Linked DNA regions of Mus musculus: region 1 is reported to be linked to region 2. Evidence: microRNA targets listed by miRTarBase, many of them from high-throughput screens and not tested one by one. Region 2 holds a microRNA gene; the other region holds the end of a gene's coding sequence.
What was found. Region 2 holds the annotated microRNA mmu-miR-497a-5p (CAGCAGCACACUGUGGUUUGUA, at 4,273-4,294, opposite strand). A microRNA usually pairs through its seed, bases 2 to 8, with sites in the 3' UTR of a target mRNA and lowers its output. Matches are read on the target gene's strand: a 7mer-m8 pairs with bases 2 to 8, a 7mer-A1 pairs with bases 2 to 7 and ends in A, and an 8mer does both.

Region 1: the mRNA of Erlin2 is a reported target of mmu-miR-497a-5p. Seed matches in the 3' UTR shown: 8mer at 5,027-5,034 and 7mer-A1 at 4,563-4,569.

Annotation. Positions count from the first base shown.
Region 1 is chr8:27,035,212-27,043,229 of GRCm38, reverse strand. Erlin2 (ER lipid raft associated 2) reads right to left here. Exons shown (of 12, transcript NM_153592.3): 11 at 7,137-7,216; 12 at 3,793-6,797. The coding sequence ends at 6,594. It overlaps Plpbp (pyridoxal phosphate binding protein), which reads right to left and starts at 675. Exons shown (of 8, transcript NM_054057.4): 1 at 517-675. The coding sequence starts at 615.
Region 2 is chr11:70,231,006-70,239,023 of GRCm38, reverse strand. It overlaps Mir497 (microRNA 497), which reads right to left and starts at 4,307; the gene lies at 4,224-4,307. It overlaps 0610010K14Rik (RIKEN cDNA 0610010K14 gene), which reads left to right and starts at 1,110. Exons shown (of 6, transcript NM_145758.1): 1 at 1,110-1,240; 2 at 1,399-1,493; 3 at 2,046-2,147; 4 at 2,813-3,000; 5 at 3,224-3,328; 6 at 3,560-3,820. The coding sequence starts at 1,220. The coding sequence ends at 3,564. It overlaps Rnasek (ribonuclease, RNase K), which reads left to right. Exons shown (of 3, transcript NM_173742.3): 2 at 10-86; 3 at 554-901. The coding sequence ends at 695. Mir497b (microRNA 497b) reads left to right here and starts at 4,208; the gene lies at 4,208-4,332. It also overlaps Mir195a and Gm40191.

The DNA of each region.
Region 1 (8,018 bases), not on the chromosome of region 2:
TTTTCTGTCTCACTTCACATAACGTAGCTTAATTTGCATGGAGAAAAGCAGATACTGGCACCGGTCTAGAAGTCCAATGGGGGACATAACAACCATACGAAAATAACAAACGCTTGTGACAGGGCACCTGACAGCTCCCGCCCGCTCTGTGTGTGTCAAGTTCACGCGCAGCTAGACCACGGCTCGCGGCCGCCGCAACGCACGTGATCGCGGGTGGACACGGCCCTCCCAGGGCTCTAGTACCGTGGTGACGAATGGCGTGGTGGTACCGAGGGCAATGACGAATGGCGAGACGCCTGGATACGAGTCACTTGCCCTAAATGAACACCTTTCTCCAACCAAGCCAACCTCCCGGCAAGTCCCGATCCTCAAGGCCAGACCGACCGCCATGGAAACCCAGCGATCCCCTCTGCAGCCCCCGCCCCTCCGGGAGCCCCTTCTGCGTCACCGTGACACCTCGTCCCACGTAGGTGTCCCCCTTCCAGCCCTCCCCAGTGCCCTTCCGCCGGTCCTCACCCGCGGCCGCCGCGCCACACTCTGCTGGACTCGCTCGTTCACGGCCCGCAGCGCGAACCCGACTCCCAGCTCCGCCGTCATGCTGCCACCTCTCAACATTCCCAAGAGGATGCCCGGAGGACCCGCGACTCACCGAGCCCACCTTCCGGTCCCGCCCCCTTCCTGAGAGGTCCAATCGCCGCTCACCATCCAGCCACTTCCCCAGCGGAGGTTGGCCACCCAGGCGGGCGCCATCTTGGGGAAGGCGGAGGTTACCCGGACTGAAAGCCTCCTAGGGAGTTCAAGGGCTGGGCGGGCCGGTATAAACCAAGACATTAAAGTAACTTTCATTCATCCGTTCCGTTCCTTTCCTTTTTCCTTTCTTCTTTTCCTTTCCCTTCCCTCCCCTCTCCTTCCCATTTTTAAATTTCTTTCGAGACAGGGCTTCTCTGTGTCCTGGCTGTCCTGGAACTCATTCTCTAGATCAGGGTGGCCTTGAAATCCCAAGTGCTGGGTCTAAAGGCGTGTGCCACCACTGCCCAGCTATTATTTCTTTTTTAAAATATTTATTTTATGTGCGTTGATTTGTTTTGTCCTCATGTATGTATGTGCATGCACCGTCGTATCTGTGGTGCCATGGCCAGGAGAGTTTTGGATCTCGACCTGATGGTTGTGAGCCATCATGTGTGCTGGGGACAGAATTCTGGTCCTTTGCAAGAGCAACAGGTGCACTTGACTACTGATCCATCTCTCCAGCCCCCTTTTAATTTAAATATTTTTATTTATATTTTTGTTGTGTGGGTGTTTCCCCTGAACGTTAAGTCTGTGAACTGCCACAGAGGTCAGAGGAGGGCATAGAACTCTCTGGAACTGATGAGTGGATAGATGGGTGCTGGGTTCTGAACCTCTATAAGAGCAGTAAGTGCTCTCTCTCCATTCCCAGACTTTAGGAGTAATGATATTGAAGGTAAATGCCTCTTCATATACTGCTGTCACCACAGTGAAAAAAACCCCAAAACCTGAAAGGGCCCAGAAGGCTGTTACAGAGTGAGCCTAATGAGAAGCTGGCTGTGGAGCTGCAGTTGGGAAGTACTAGTCAGGAATAAGTGGGTCAAGTTTAAAGGGTTCGTGAAGGCTGGGATGGACGTGAAGTCAAAGAGATGCTCTGCTTCAAAAAATTGAAGGTGATAAGACAGGTCAGGGGTCAGAGGCGCTTGCTGTCCAAAGTCATATGGTGGAAGGAGAAAGCAGACTCCTGCAGATCTCCACATGAATGCCAGGGTGTCTGAGCATGTGCGCATGCACAAGGATGTATACATACATATGTACACAGATGTAAAAATGAGACCTATAAATACTACAGATTTAGGGTGGGGCCTCTATCTATCTATCTATCTATCTATCTATCTATCTATCTATCTATCTACCTACCTACCTACCTACCTACCTACCTACCTATCTGCACATATACATAAACACACACAGAACCTACTACTACTGTTTTGCTAAATGGACATGGCAGCAAACTGTCTTCAGAATATTTATATCCACAGGTTAGTGCTGACCTCAGCCTTGGATAAAGAAGCTGTTTGTGTTACAATGGATAATGATTAACAGAGTCACAACTGGTCAAAGTGCTCAAAATAAATGACTATTGAACCCTATCAGAGCATCTGTGCTACCTCCTTCAAGGTTCAAAGAACCTCTTGGAAGAGGGGGGGGATATGGAAAAAAACAAAACAAAACTAAGAGCCAGAGGGTAGTAGGGAGGTGTAGTGTGAACTGCTATATCTCCTGTGCCCATTACCAACGGCGACAGCTGTGGTCACCTGTGCAGGACTGGGGCTGTGAATGAGGCGGGAGCTCCTGAGGATCGTGGGACAGCTGTGCTTACTGAGGAAGGGGAGCCATATTTCTCAGTGGTGTTGCTACTAGAAAGTTGCCCTTGCCTAAATAACTCACAGCTCAGGCTTATGCAAGCAACCCTACTTAAAAGAAAAATAAAACGTAGGGGAACAGGATGATGTGCCAGAGGGGTGATATCTAGGGAAGGCTGCCCCCTTTTCATAGGAAGGGGGAAGGAAGAATGGAGGGAGGAGCTGTGTGTGTGTGTGTGTGGGGGGCCTGGGAAGAGAGAAGGGGCTGATATTGGAATATAAAGTGAATAGATAAATAGTAAAGAAAAATAACATAATTCATTAAGTAAACTCAGTTTTAGTGAATTTTTTTTTTTAAGTAAGAAGGGGGCTTGATGGGAAGAAAAGTTTGATGGGAGGGTAAGGGATTAAGATGCTAATGTGTGTGTGGGGGTTATGGTCAAAGTGCAAATTGTGAAAGAACCATTTTCAAAAAGAAAGGAAGCACAGTGTAAGAAAAACATAAGAAAACAACAATGAAAAACATGGTGGGAAGCGCACGCCTTTAATCCCAGCACTCGGGAGGCAGAGGCAGGAGGATTTCTGAGTTCAAAACCAGCCTGGTCTACAGAGTGAGTTCCAGGACAGCCAGGGCTATACACAGAAACCCTGTCTCGACACCCCCCCCCCCAAAAAAACCCCCAAAACCAACCAACCAACCCCCCCCCAAAAAAAAACCAAGAAAACTATGTTGTGGCAGGGTGGGGGAGAGGGAGATGGCTCAGAGGTTAAGAGCACTGGCTGCTCTTGAGGAGGACCCTGCTTGATTCCAGCAAACAAGGAACAACTCAAAACTGCCCCGTCCGGGAAATCCAATGCCCTCAGCTGGCCTCCATAGGCACCAGGTATGCATGTGGAATACAGACATACATCAGCAAAATACCCTATACTACATACACTAAACCAAAACCCAAACCAAGATATCCCAAACTTGTTATTTAAAAGAAAATATCCAGTTAAATGCAAATTTCAGATCAAGTGCAAATTCTTCTATAAAAGTAGGTGTTGTAAAACATTTGGATGGTATATAGTTTTTGTAAAGTTCACTGACATTAACATTTATCTAGTGACACTAGGCGAGGCAGCTTGCCACAGCCAGTCTGGGAGTTACCTACTTAAACTGATATTACATGAGGTTAGGGTCAACTGGGAATGCCTTTATCTTCTGGAGAAATGCAGCAATGTGTTAATTCTGTTTGTTTTTGCCATAGTCTCACTATGCAGACCAGGCTGGGCTCAAACAGATCCTTCTCCTCGGGTGCTGGAGCTAAAGGCATGTACCAGCATGCTGGTAAGAATCTATATTACCTGGATATATTTTTAGGGAAAGCCTAAGAAGGAAGTTTGATTTCTATCACCTGTCCTCCAATCTACTGGTAAATTTTACCTTAATCAAAAAAAGACAAAAACATTTTATTTAGCAAGACTGAAATTAAATCCAAAATGTAAGTATATTCACATTGAGACCTTTTTTTGTTGTCTGAAACAAATCCTGGAGCTATTAACCCAAGGTAATTTATCTAGTGGTATCATTTATGGAATAATTACTATAACAAGAATCATTTCTCAGTTATAAAGGCTCATTAATGCCCTTGGGGCACACTGAAAAAATTGCTTTAACTATTCAATCACCAGTTTACACAGAAGTAGAGATAAAAAGGAATGGAAGTACAAACACATGATTGCCCATTACAGCTTTTATAAGGAAACAAACAGTGGCTAGAAGCCCACTGAGGACAAGGAAGTAGGTAAAGTTCCCAGACAGAGGGGCTATTGTCCAGGTAGTTTACCGACGGCCAGCTGACGACAGCCCAGGTCAGTAAGCACGGCTATCTCACTTTCACAAGACACACGGCCCCACAGGCCGTTTATACACCTCCCTTTTCAGAGCACTTCATTCCTCCTCAGTACCCACACTGAGTCCTCCACACCTATTTTTAGTTATATAAAAATTATTAAACTTAGGCTTCCTTACAAACATTCTAACCATATATTGAAAAGTGATTAAAAACCTATATGGAATATAAATTGCTTCTGCAACATTTAGTGAGTGAGAAGCATTCTACCAAGGTGGCTGGGCCTTGGGAAAGTCCTACAAAAACTGAATTTTACAAACGGTTAACGTATTTTGATAGAAGTTCTACTTAAAAATAGCAGCTATGAATTCACTGCCTACAAAACTGCAGGCTTATCACATTTTACATGTTTAGAATTCAAATGCCTAAGTCAGATTTTATAGTATTACAAAAAACAAGGTCATAAAGACAGATGGGCTAGGCATCCCATGCTAAAAAGACATCTGAGTTCCATGATTTTACTGCTGGGACAGATACCAATAGCTACTGAATTTATGCTATGACATGGGGACATTTCTGTTCTGTTAAAGAAGTGACATTAAAGGGGCAGGGAAGGAGCAGCTGCAGCAGGACTTTACTGTGGCTCTTTGTAATGGAGGGATGAGCTCTCAGAATGCTAGTTACAGAGCCTCTCGGGCTAGGAGGGCGCTGGATGGCGGGGTACCCTCCCTCCTGCACCGACTCCACTGAAGTAGTGTTTTCTCAGGTGCACGTACAAGAGAGGATGCTGGGTATAGCACGTTGCTCTCAACAAGTGGTTAGCAGCAACAAATGAGAAGAAGATGAGTTGGTCTTGGGGAAAAAAACCCACTTTTGCAAGAGCTTTTGAGCACATTAAAATGTCCTTTTCAGGAACATTTTGTAGTTTGTACAGTGTGGCCAGGGTCAGTGGCCTGAGGAGTCAGGACAGAGAAGGGAACATCTGAAGTAAGCACAGTGAACCCTGCCTCTTTTTGGGTCGGCTGAATGCTTCCCAAATACCTGACAAGTCTGGTGCCACTTAGGAGCAAACTGGCCCGACTTACAAAACCAAAACTGAGGTGGGAATTGATGCCAGAAAATACCATTTATAGTAGTCACCTAAGAGAGAACAGTAGGTGCTTTGTGTGGGGGGAGGATGAGGTAGGGGACCAGCTAACAAGGCCAAGTCCTAAGCTAGAGCCAGTCATGGTTGCACAGGGTACTGCCATGTCTGCAGATTACCTGCAGAGCTGCCCTCCACAGAGGCATTCTGTGTGCACTCACAGGCCATGGTAGAGCCCCACCCCCAGTGCAATTTCAGGATAAGAAATCCCTTTCTCTCATATCTATTCTTCGCATTCTCAGTTTCCTAGGGTGACTCACTGGAGCCGACTCTCAAGTGGCTGCCTGCTCTCTTCATCAGTGTCAGACAAAGCCCCAGCACAGGCCACAGGCACTACTACTTGGGTGTCATCTGGCTGGGCCCTTCTCCACAGTGTTAAGGGCTCTTCAATGAAGAATCTCCATAATGATAAAGATGTTTGGTCTCAAAAGCATACGCATAATTAGCCACACAGCACCACAGTGCTAAGGGGTATAAGGAGCTACGTCATCAGCTAACAGCACTTGTTTGTTCCCATCTTAACGCTGAGTGCAACTCATGAATAGATTATTCAAGAAGAAATGAAATCACAGATCAGGTCAAAGTACGGAAAAGGAGTGTGTGGTGTGACCAAGCCCTGCTGCGGTGAGATGTAGCCAACAAACACTAGAGCAGAGTACAGTGTGTAGAAAACCTTGCAAAACCTAGCACCAAGTTCTTCCTAAAAAGGGCTCAAGACAGCTTAACTCTCAAGTAATCCACTCAGTCAAAAAGCCCAGCCGGCCAACGCTCTCTGCAGCTCATGTTCCGCAGCAGACGGCCTTCTGTCACGAGCCCCACACGCAGACACTGCCTACACTAGAGGCAAGGGAGAGAACTGTGGAGTACACTTTTCCCTGAAGGAATTCAAGCACGAGGAGGCAGCACACACTCTCCCTCTTCATACTGACAGTAGCTCCACTTAAACCAGCTTCAAAGTGACAATGTTGGTGTCTGCAGGTCAGAGGTCAAATCTACGGTGCATACACCTTCTCAGAAGTCATACAACTTACTTACCTGAATTAAAAATAAACCCAAAAAACAACTCTCCATCTGCTCTCCCTTCCCAGAAGGGGGTAAGTTTGTGTCCATTTCTTCCTTTTTAACCACAGTAAGAAGAGTCAAGGAAGGTAGTGTGGAAAGGAGGAGCGCTTTGCTCTGTCTCATCTTAAAGAATACAGCTCTCTCTAAGCTGCCCGAGCAGAGCTTGCAGACAGTGTTTCCTCAGTTCTCCTTTGTGGGTGCCTCGAGGGGCTCATCTTCTAGGCCAAAGCCCAGCTTGTCGTCGCTCAGCCCCTCAAACTGCTTGCCCAGCCCCCCTGCGGAATCCATAAACATGTTGGGGATGTCTTTGCCGAAGTAAATCTTGCTGTTGGAAGCAATGGCCTTGTACTTCATCAGCTGCAGGTATTCTGGAGTCAGCTTGAGCTGTGATGGAAGTGAAGAGAGCTTAGGGAGGGGACACCAGAGAGGAACTTCATCTGGGGAGGGCATCTGTCAAGCAGACATGTGTTTGCATGTCTCATGGCCTCCCTGTTACCCAGAAACCATTTTTTTCTGAGAGAAAATAATCTAAGGTCTATGACAGAGTAGCAACAGTTTCCAGAGTTTTCCTGTTCAATACAAAATGAAGCTTCTATTAAGGCTTCCCACACAAGAGAAGCGCTGTCTAACCCAGCAGAGGGTCCTCAGTTCTGTTGTGAGGGCTCTGGGTAGCGAGCGGCAGAGGCAACACCTCCTCAGGACGGTGGGTCAGGCGCCCTTTACCTTATTTGCTTCTGCGATCTTCAGCGCTGTGTAGCACTCAGCGTCGGCCTTCGCCTTCTCCCGGGCCAGGAACGCAGCATCTAAGGGGTGAAGGGTGCAGGGAACTGGATCAAGTACAAAACCATGGGAGGTACAGTCTGGGGGCTGGCAATTATAGCTCAGTGGTATAGACAGCACTTGTCCAGCACACATAAAGTCCAGGTTCCATTCCTGGCACTGCAGAAAACAAAAACCCAACAAAGACACTTTCTGGTCTCCATGGCCTTGGAGAGATTGTTTTGTGTGTGTGTGTGTGTTTTGTGTTTGAAATGGTCTCACCTTATAGCTAGGCTAGCATTGGACTATGCAGACTTCCTGTTAGTACAGAGAAACCAATTCTCTAAAAGAAAGTAACGTGAGATCTTCCCGACAGTGCAGCAAGAGCTTTGGTTTACTGCAGGACACCTCCATCTGGCTTCATCATACATGATGTACACTATGCATATCATATGGTGTCACCCTGACCCTGCCTTTCCAGTGCTGGGATTACAAACATGCACTGCCTTGCCTGTTCAATACCACAGATGACCCTTTCCAACTTCATCTCCCCAAAGTTTCTAACAGTGATGAGGTTGGCTAACTCTAGATTCGTGCATGCTGGTCCAGAGGAGCGCTGTCTGGTTCAGACCTGCTTCAGCACTTCATGTAGCAGTAACCCTCCGGCTCAGTGATGATGCCCAGCTCAGCTTTGAGCCCTGTGGCCCGGGGATGCGCCAGCTGCACTCCAATCACATTCACAAGGAAATATTCAGGGGCAATAATTAATTGGGGATGCTGGTTTATGGTTGTTTTTGTTTACTTTCCACCATTTTAAAAAAATTAAAACCTTTTCATTATTACAGT
Region 2 (8,018 bases):
CTCTTCCAGATAATGCTCGGGATATTTTTCAATGTCCATTCTGCTGTGTTAATTGAGGACGTTCCCTTCACAGAGAAAGATTTTGAGTAAGTGGTCGGGTACTTGGGCGAGTTGGGCGTGGATGAGGAGTAGCATGGTTTGGGTTTATGGGGAGGACACTTCTGAAGACTGGACATTTGTGGCCCTAGGTTGGGGACTTCAAGAAGAGGGCTGCTCTCTACAAAGTAGTTGGGTGGCAGCACGCAGGGTCCTAGTTTCAATCCCCAGCGCGAGAGACAGAGACACAGAAAGGCATGTACTTAGGAGCAGTCTTGCAAGCCACGTTTCCATGGCTACCCAAGCCCACCAGCTTAGATGTGGCCTCTTCCAATATTTTGCCTTCCTGCTCCTTGGTCTACCTCTGTAAAATGGTTACCATGATAGAATTCATTTGGTATGCTTCTTGGGAAGACTAATAGGAGTTAAAGTGCTTTAGCATGGTGTCTGATGCATAGAACTTGCATATTGGATGCTCTGAATGGCTGACATTTCCCTGCTCGCTCGCCACCTTCAGGAACGGTCCTCAGAACATATACAACCTGTACGAGCAAGTCAGCTACAACTGTTTCATCGCCGCGGGCCTCTACCTCCTCCTCGGAGGCTTCTCCTTCTGCCAAGTTCGTCTCAACAAGCGCAAGGAATACATGGTGCGCTAGAGCGCGGTCCGCCTCTCCCTCCCCAGCCCCCTTCTCTATTTAAAGACTCCGCAGACTCCGTCCCACTCATCTGGCGTCCTTTGGGACTTGTGACCCTAGCGAGACGTCATCCCTGGCCCTGCAAAACTGCGCCCAGCCTCTGGAGGAGACCGAGGGTGACCGCGCCCCGTTCTGAACTACAATAAAAAGAAGCGGTTCCCCCTAAGCTTGCTGTCTGTGCTTTCAGGGAGGGGCGGGCCCGGGCTGGAAGGGGCTGAGACCGGCCTCATCGAGGAGTCCGGACCCTCCGACGGAAGTGGAATGAAGCTAGCCGGAAGTGAAGCAACGTCTTCCACCTCGTCTTCCTCCGCGCGGCGAGGCCCCTTGAGTGACTGGGGAGAGGTCGGGTCTCGGCCAATCAGCTGCAGGGAGGGCGGGACTTCCTGCGCGGGAGCCCGAGCGGCCGGCTGCCGGGCTCTCCGTGGTTTCCAGCTCGCGTGGTGGTGGTGGCGGCGGAGCGTCTCCGTGAGGAGGTGCGCGGGGCCATGACGTCAGCGTCCACCAAGGTTCGACCTCCCTCGCGGACTGCGCTCCCTGGCGGCCACGGGAGGGTGGGCCCCCTGCCTGGCTCCCGGCTGGTGCGCGCTGGGCGGGGGGCGGGCGGATCCGAGGCTGGGGTGGGACGGCGCGCTGCCGGCCCCCCGTAATGCTGCTCCGCCCCCAGGTTGGAGAGATCTTCTCCGCGGCCGGCGCCGCCTTCACGAAGCTCGGGGAGTTGACGATGCAGCTGCATCCAGTCTCGGACTCTTCCCCTGCCGGGTACGTGAGACCAGCCTAGGACCTGGACTCCGAGATCAGACGCTTGGACTCAAGTCACAGACACGACCCTCTCTAGAGCAGGGAGATAGAGTAATTCCCCTGTGCCTGGCCCAGCTCAGTGTAGGTGGTAATTGTTGAATTAGTGGATGACAGGTAAAGAGACTACCGAGGCCACAGCCCTCCACTGCAAACCGACAGAATGTCTGCCACCTACCCCAAGCCCTGTGGACTCCCTCAAACTGCTGCCACACATCTTTCAAGGGTTGTGTTTGTAAGGCCCCTACTTGTTTCATTGGTTTCCGTTGGGTTGTTTATGGAAGCTGTTACATGATGAAGTGATGTTTTCAAGTGGCCCTGGATGTAATTTCATGTGGCCAGCGATTTGTCCCCAGGGCTTTTTTTTTTTTAAAAGGAGGTCCTTTTTATGAATCTTTGAAAGGTGCCCCTAGAGACTAGGGGGAAGAGGCTGCTGGCTGTGGACGGAATAGCCTGTGGGCTGGTTCCACACATCCCTCTTCCACTTTTGTTATCACCCTTCTCCCCTTCCGACAGTGCCAAGTGGACGGAGACGGAGATAGAGATGCTGAGGGCTGCTGTGAAGCGCTTTGGGGACGATCTTAATCACATCAGCTGTGTCATCAAGGAACGGACAGTGTGAGGGAGGGTGGCTGGCAGAGAAAGGGGAGGGTGGGCAACTTTCTTCCTCCTGACCCATTGTTCTCTCTCAGAACTCCCAGCTCAGCATCTTTCCTACTTTGTTCCTAGTTTTGTTAGCATTTCCTTGAAGACTGAGAGACTGTCACTGTGGCAGTTGGTCGGAAGATCAGGAAATGCAGTGGTCACTAGGGCCTGCAGAGAACTTTATTTTCATGGTGCCCAGATACTCAGTGGTTGTGTTTGATGATAAGAGTTCCCTAGCTATTTATGTAAATCCTTTGAAACTGGCATGTCCAGGGGATGCATTCTGAACTAATTAGTTGGTCAGGTTCTATGACAGTCTCAGTCTACCTTTATGTCACCACAACATACCTGGTGGTCCTACAAAACCATGCATCTCTCCCAGAGGATCATGAAAAGGGCCTTTCTGGCCACTCAGTTCAGGGACTCCATTCATCTTAATCTATTAGCCCTAAGTGGATGCAAAAGTTCTGAACGTGGGGGGGGGGGGGAGGACCCTTATTACACATGAACTGGGGCCTTGACCTGGATATCTACAAAGGAACTCCTAGAATTCCTTCAGAGTGGCCCATTATTCCCTCCCCTCCCCTCTTCCCTCGGCTTCTCTGATGACACCCTAATCTGCTCTCTCTCATCTTCAGGGCTCAGATAAAGACCACTGTGAAGCGAAAAGTGTATGAAGACTCCGGCATCCCCCTTCCAGCTGAGTCACCCAAGAAAGGACCCAAGAAGATGACGTCCGGTGTCCTCTCACCTCCAAACGCCCCTCCACCCAGCAGCTCCAGTGTCCCTGAAGCTGGGGTTCCTCCCATAAAGAAACAGAAGGCTGGTGAGGGCTGTGGAGTTGCTGCCTAGGGTAGGGGTTAAAGGTCCTATCTGAGATTCAATAAGAGAATTGGGCCTGGGTCAAAGAAGGAGAGACGCTTCTCTTCTGTACGCTGGTGATTCCAGAGTGGGTAGAGGGATGTGTAGAGCATGAAGCTTTGGCAGACTGGGAGGAGGGAAAGACAGCAGTCAGGGAAACCTAGAACTTAGCCTATGCCCCCTCCCAGATGTGACACTCAGTGCTCTGAACGACTCCGACGCCAACAGTGACCTGGTGGATGTCGAAGGGCTAGGAGAAACTCCTCCAGCCAAGAAACTCAACTTTGACCAGGGTAGGAGTCCTCCTCCTCCCACGCTGGCTGGGGGTGGGGAACATACTCACCTGGATGGTAGGGGAGGGTCCCCACAGAAAACCCCTTTCTGGTGCAGGGGCCTCAGAAGGAAGATTCAGTGCAGGGGAATGGGTCAGTTAGTAATACGGCGTTTGAGGAGGTGAGGGTTTTCTTGGAAAAATCCTCCACGCTTGCTCCATCTCTGTCCGTTTTCCTTCCTGTTCCAGACAGCCTGACCCTGGACTCTGGCCTCCTCACCACCTCCGCTGATGCTCCTCTCCTCTCCTGCTGAGCCTTCCACCTCTGACCCTCATTGTTCACCCTGGACCTGTGGATCACCTGGGACTCTAAGCAAGGACTGCCTGAGAGAGGGTCAGAGGGCTGCTGGAGCCATCCACCTCGTTCCTGATAACCATGTGCCCTCGCCCTTTGACTTCTGTGTGATGGACATTTTTATACAGAAAATTATAATTAAAAAAGATTCTCTCAACATGGTGCTGCCAGCTGCCGTTCCCTCTCCTCTGCTTCGCCCTCGGGGCTTGGCCCCTTCTCAGTAGCTCTCACCACCCTGCCTGGAGCAGCACAGCCAATATTGGCAGACTCACTTCCCCATGCCAATATTTCTGTGCTGCTAGAGCCAGGAGAGTTGGGTGTGGGCAACAAAGACTCTACTTTGCTCTGTGGGGCCAGAACTCATTACCAGGGTTCCTGATAACTGGTATCAGACAACCTGGGGGTTGCAGAGGGGCTCTTTCCAGTGTCTCCTGTCCCACCTTGCAAGAACTTCATCACAATACCCTAGACGGTGTGTGTGTGTGTGTGTGTGTGTGTGTGTGTGTGTGTGTGTTGCTTCTCCAGGGTGGCCTCCCAGGGCCAGGCTCATCGGTGCCTCCCATACCCTCGCTCTAACACCACAGTGTGGTTTGGACGTGGCCACAGTGCCGTACAAACCACAGTGTGCTGCTGGGGCGGGGGCAGGACTGGGGTGGGTCGAGAGGAAGACAGCACAGGCAGTGCCGTGAAGACCCCCACCTAGAGTGAGACAGAGGTGTGAATGGCAAACATGGCCCCCCAAAAAAGCTGGGGGGGGGGAACAATCAGGAACCAGCAAAAGTAGTTTAGCAGGCAAAGGATAGGGCCCTGGCAGATGAGTCCAATGTGATAAGCTTGGAGCATTCTTCACCTCTGTAGGAATTCAGCTCTGGGGATCCTTAGGAAACGGGATGACTGGGGAAGACCAACAAACTGCCTCCCACAAAGGCAGGGACCTAAGGTTTCCTGTGTCCATTCCTCCCTCCCTAGGTCAGAACCCAAGAGAAATGCTGGAAGACACAGGGCCAAGGACAGCAGGGTTGGGAGTTGGCAGTCCAGAGGTGGTGGGGCTGGAACACGGTTGAGAGAGGGGGGCCGGAAGTCGCCCTGGGCCCTGGGCCTGCCACAAGATGGAGGCCAAAGGCAGGAAATGGAGGCCAGGGAGAAAGGGATGCAGCAGAGCCCAGGAAGAGGCTCATCTGGACCAGAGGGCAAAGTATTCAACCCCAAGTGCTGCTTCCATTCCCCATGGTCCCCCAAGACCCACGCCCCACCCACACAGCAACACTCATTAGCCCATTCACCAGGCCCAGGCAAGCAGGCCCACCCCTGAGAGCCACGTTTAAGCAAAGACAAACATGCCTTTTCCCCACCCCCAACCCTAGGCCTTCCCATAGCCCTTTCCTCCTGTCCAAGACTTGATTTTAAAAAGAACCTCCCAGAAGGCAAAAGTTTCTTCTGGAAATTTCAAAACAAAACAAAACTCTGTAAACCCTAGATATTAACCTCCCATATCTCATCCCACCTTTTAGCACCACCAGGCTTCCGACACACCCCCCCAAAACTCTTAGCAATCAAAAGATTTAAGATGGTGTGTGAAGCAATCTTTTTAGGCCCCCCTAGTATGCCAGACCCTCTCCAAGACTACCAGATCACCTATATCAAGCCCTGCCAACGCCTCCTGCTCCTTGCACCCTCCTGGACCCCCAGAAACAACTGCTGTCCCCCAGCTCCCATCCCAGCAAAGCTTTTGTGGGGCTAAAAAAAAAAAAAAGCAAACACTGTCCTAATGTCTGTAGGAATATTGGGGGCTCTCAAGTCTCAAGCTTTGGTTTCAGTATGAGGTGCTACGTCTTAGGGGTACAAGAGAAAGCTTCTCTGGTCATCCCCCCAATTTCAAGAGTTACAAGGCGCAACCCCACCCCAGCACGCACCTCCAAACCTCCCCCCCAACCGCCACGTCTCTCCTGAAAACAGGGGACACTTTCCTCCCCACTTACCTCAGCTACTCTCCCCTGAGATCCTGGTCCCCTATTTTGAAAGGAGCAAATTTTGGGGTGCATCCCTCACATTTGGGGTGCAGGAGAAAAGAGACGCCCCAGTCGCATCGCTGGCCTCCTTCCTCTCAGCTGGCTCAAGGACTGGGGAGTGCCCTGGGGTGGGGGACCCCCACAAGAGAGCTCTGGAGGGGTTCCTCCACTCCCAGTCAGAACTGGGGACACCCCCCCAAAACCCGTCCCAGCCCATCCGTCTCCAACTCGGCGGGAGAGGCAGCTGCATTGCCCCAGTCAGATTCCCCCAACACTACATTCCTCACCCCATCTAGAGGGATCCCGGGGCCCCCAAAAAATCCCAAAAAAATCTAGGATGTTGGGAAGATGGTCCTGAACTAGCTACCCAAATTTGGGGTCCTTAGATACCCCCGTTTTTTCAGGAAAATTCTGTCTTTCTCCTGCCTCCCGCCAGCCCTGCTCTGTCCCGATGCCAATTTTGGAAGTCACTCCCTCCTTCCTCCTCCCCGTTTCTCCAGGCCCCCCCGCTTGGGGGCTAGGGTCCAGGACACCTGGTTTCCAGACCGGGGGACACTCTTTAGAAGGCTAGGGGCCAAGAGGTCAAGCTCATTGCCCCTGTCTCAAGGAAGCAGGAAAGCCCGATCCTCCCCTCCCCTCCCCTCCCCCCTGGCTGGTCTCGGTGGTGGTTTAGGAAAGCCTGGAGGACTGGAATCTGCCATTGCTATTGCACAGGCAGTTTTTTTTTCCTTGAGTTGGGGGGGTGGGCGGTGGGAGGGAGAGAGGGGAGGAGAGCCGAAGAGAGCAGGGACCTAGGCGGGAATATCTGGCCTGGCTTACCCTCTAGCCCCTGCTGCCGTTGGAAACCCCTCCCCCGCCTCTCAGTTCACCCTCATTCCCAATCCTCTGTCTGCTTTCTCTTTGGGGCTCTTATCTTAAAATATCAGGGTGCAAGATTCACCCCCCCCTTGTAGACCATCACAGCCTTTCCTTGCCAGTTTCAGCAGCACTGTTAGTCAGAAAGTACCCACTTTAACAAGAGACACCCCATCTCCTCCAAACGGATTTTTTCTTCCATAAGAAATCGGGGTTCAGAGTATGAAGCCACCTTTCCCCCCTTAGCACAACAGGTCATATTCCAGTGAGTCTATGATGGACCACACTGCTTTTTCCAGGCTTCACCCTTCAAATTCTGGCCTTATTTGGGGGTTCACTAATTTTTTTTACAATCTGGGGTGCCAGGGGACTATCAGCAAAAGATAACCTAAGTCAGAAGTGTGCTTTAGAATAGGTGAACCTCCAAATCAATTTCAATTTATGACCCACCTCTCAGCTTCACCAAATGTGGCCAGTGGCAAAACACCCAGAAACTGGATACCCCCCAAACTATCCTTCTACCCTGGGGGGGCTTCTCAATTCTCTCCTGTGGAGGAGTTTCACACATAAACATGTTCACAGGAATATCCAACCCTCAAAATGAGTTTCCACAAGATTCAAATACAAAACTTTGCCCCCCCATCAATCAAGCTCTCAGCTACAGAAAGCCTTCAGATCCTCTCCTAGCTTCTGGCTCTGCCACCAACTCAATGTAACTGGGCTCTCTAAAAAGCCCCAAGTTGACCTTTATGTCCCCAAACAATCTCATCCAAACCTTGAAACAGCACTTGGAAAGAGACTATGTCCCCCAAATTAGTTGCGTACTCATGCTCCCCCAGTAGACCAGAAATTAGAGATGGACAGTCTCACATGGGAGCATCAAATCCCTCCAAACCCCCGAACTAAGACATCTTTAAAACCAGCCCCGCACCTCCAATTTGCTATCAGCTGTCGAGACTAAAAACAGGCCTTATTGACTACAATAACTTCTATGGCAAGTGACACCCCAAAACTCAGAATAGCTAACTCTGTCCTGACATCAAAGCCCTTAATGTTTTCACCTCAAATTTGGAGATGAAAATTGGATAGAGACCAAATAATCTTCACAAAGTAAAGCCACATCGTCATCCAGGGTCCCTAGCTATCCCCAACCCCCAGTTGGTTTGCAGTTTTGTTTGCTACGTTTGCTTAAAAAAAAAAAAAATCAAAACCAATAAAACAAACAAAATGTACTCCACCCCCAAGAACAGAAGGGAGAGGCCTCAGGCCTAGATATGCTGGTCCATTCTTGCACAACTGCTATGCTCCAAACCCCAAACTCAAAGAGCTCCTGCTTTGTACCTGGGTTCAGCTCTGCCCCTCTTCTTCAAAGGAAACTTGTCCTTCTATCCCAAGGCTCCCCAAACAAAATCTAAGGGTGTGGTCCCTGCCTAGCTTCTGAATGAAGTACTTAGCTACCAGGTTCCTCCTGCCCTTTCTCCTCTGTCCTCTCT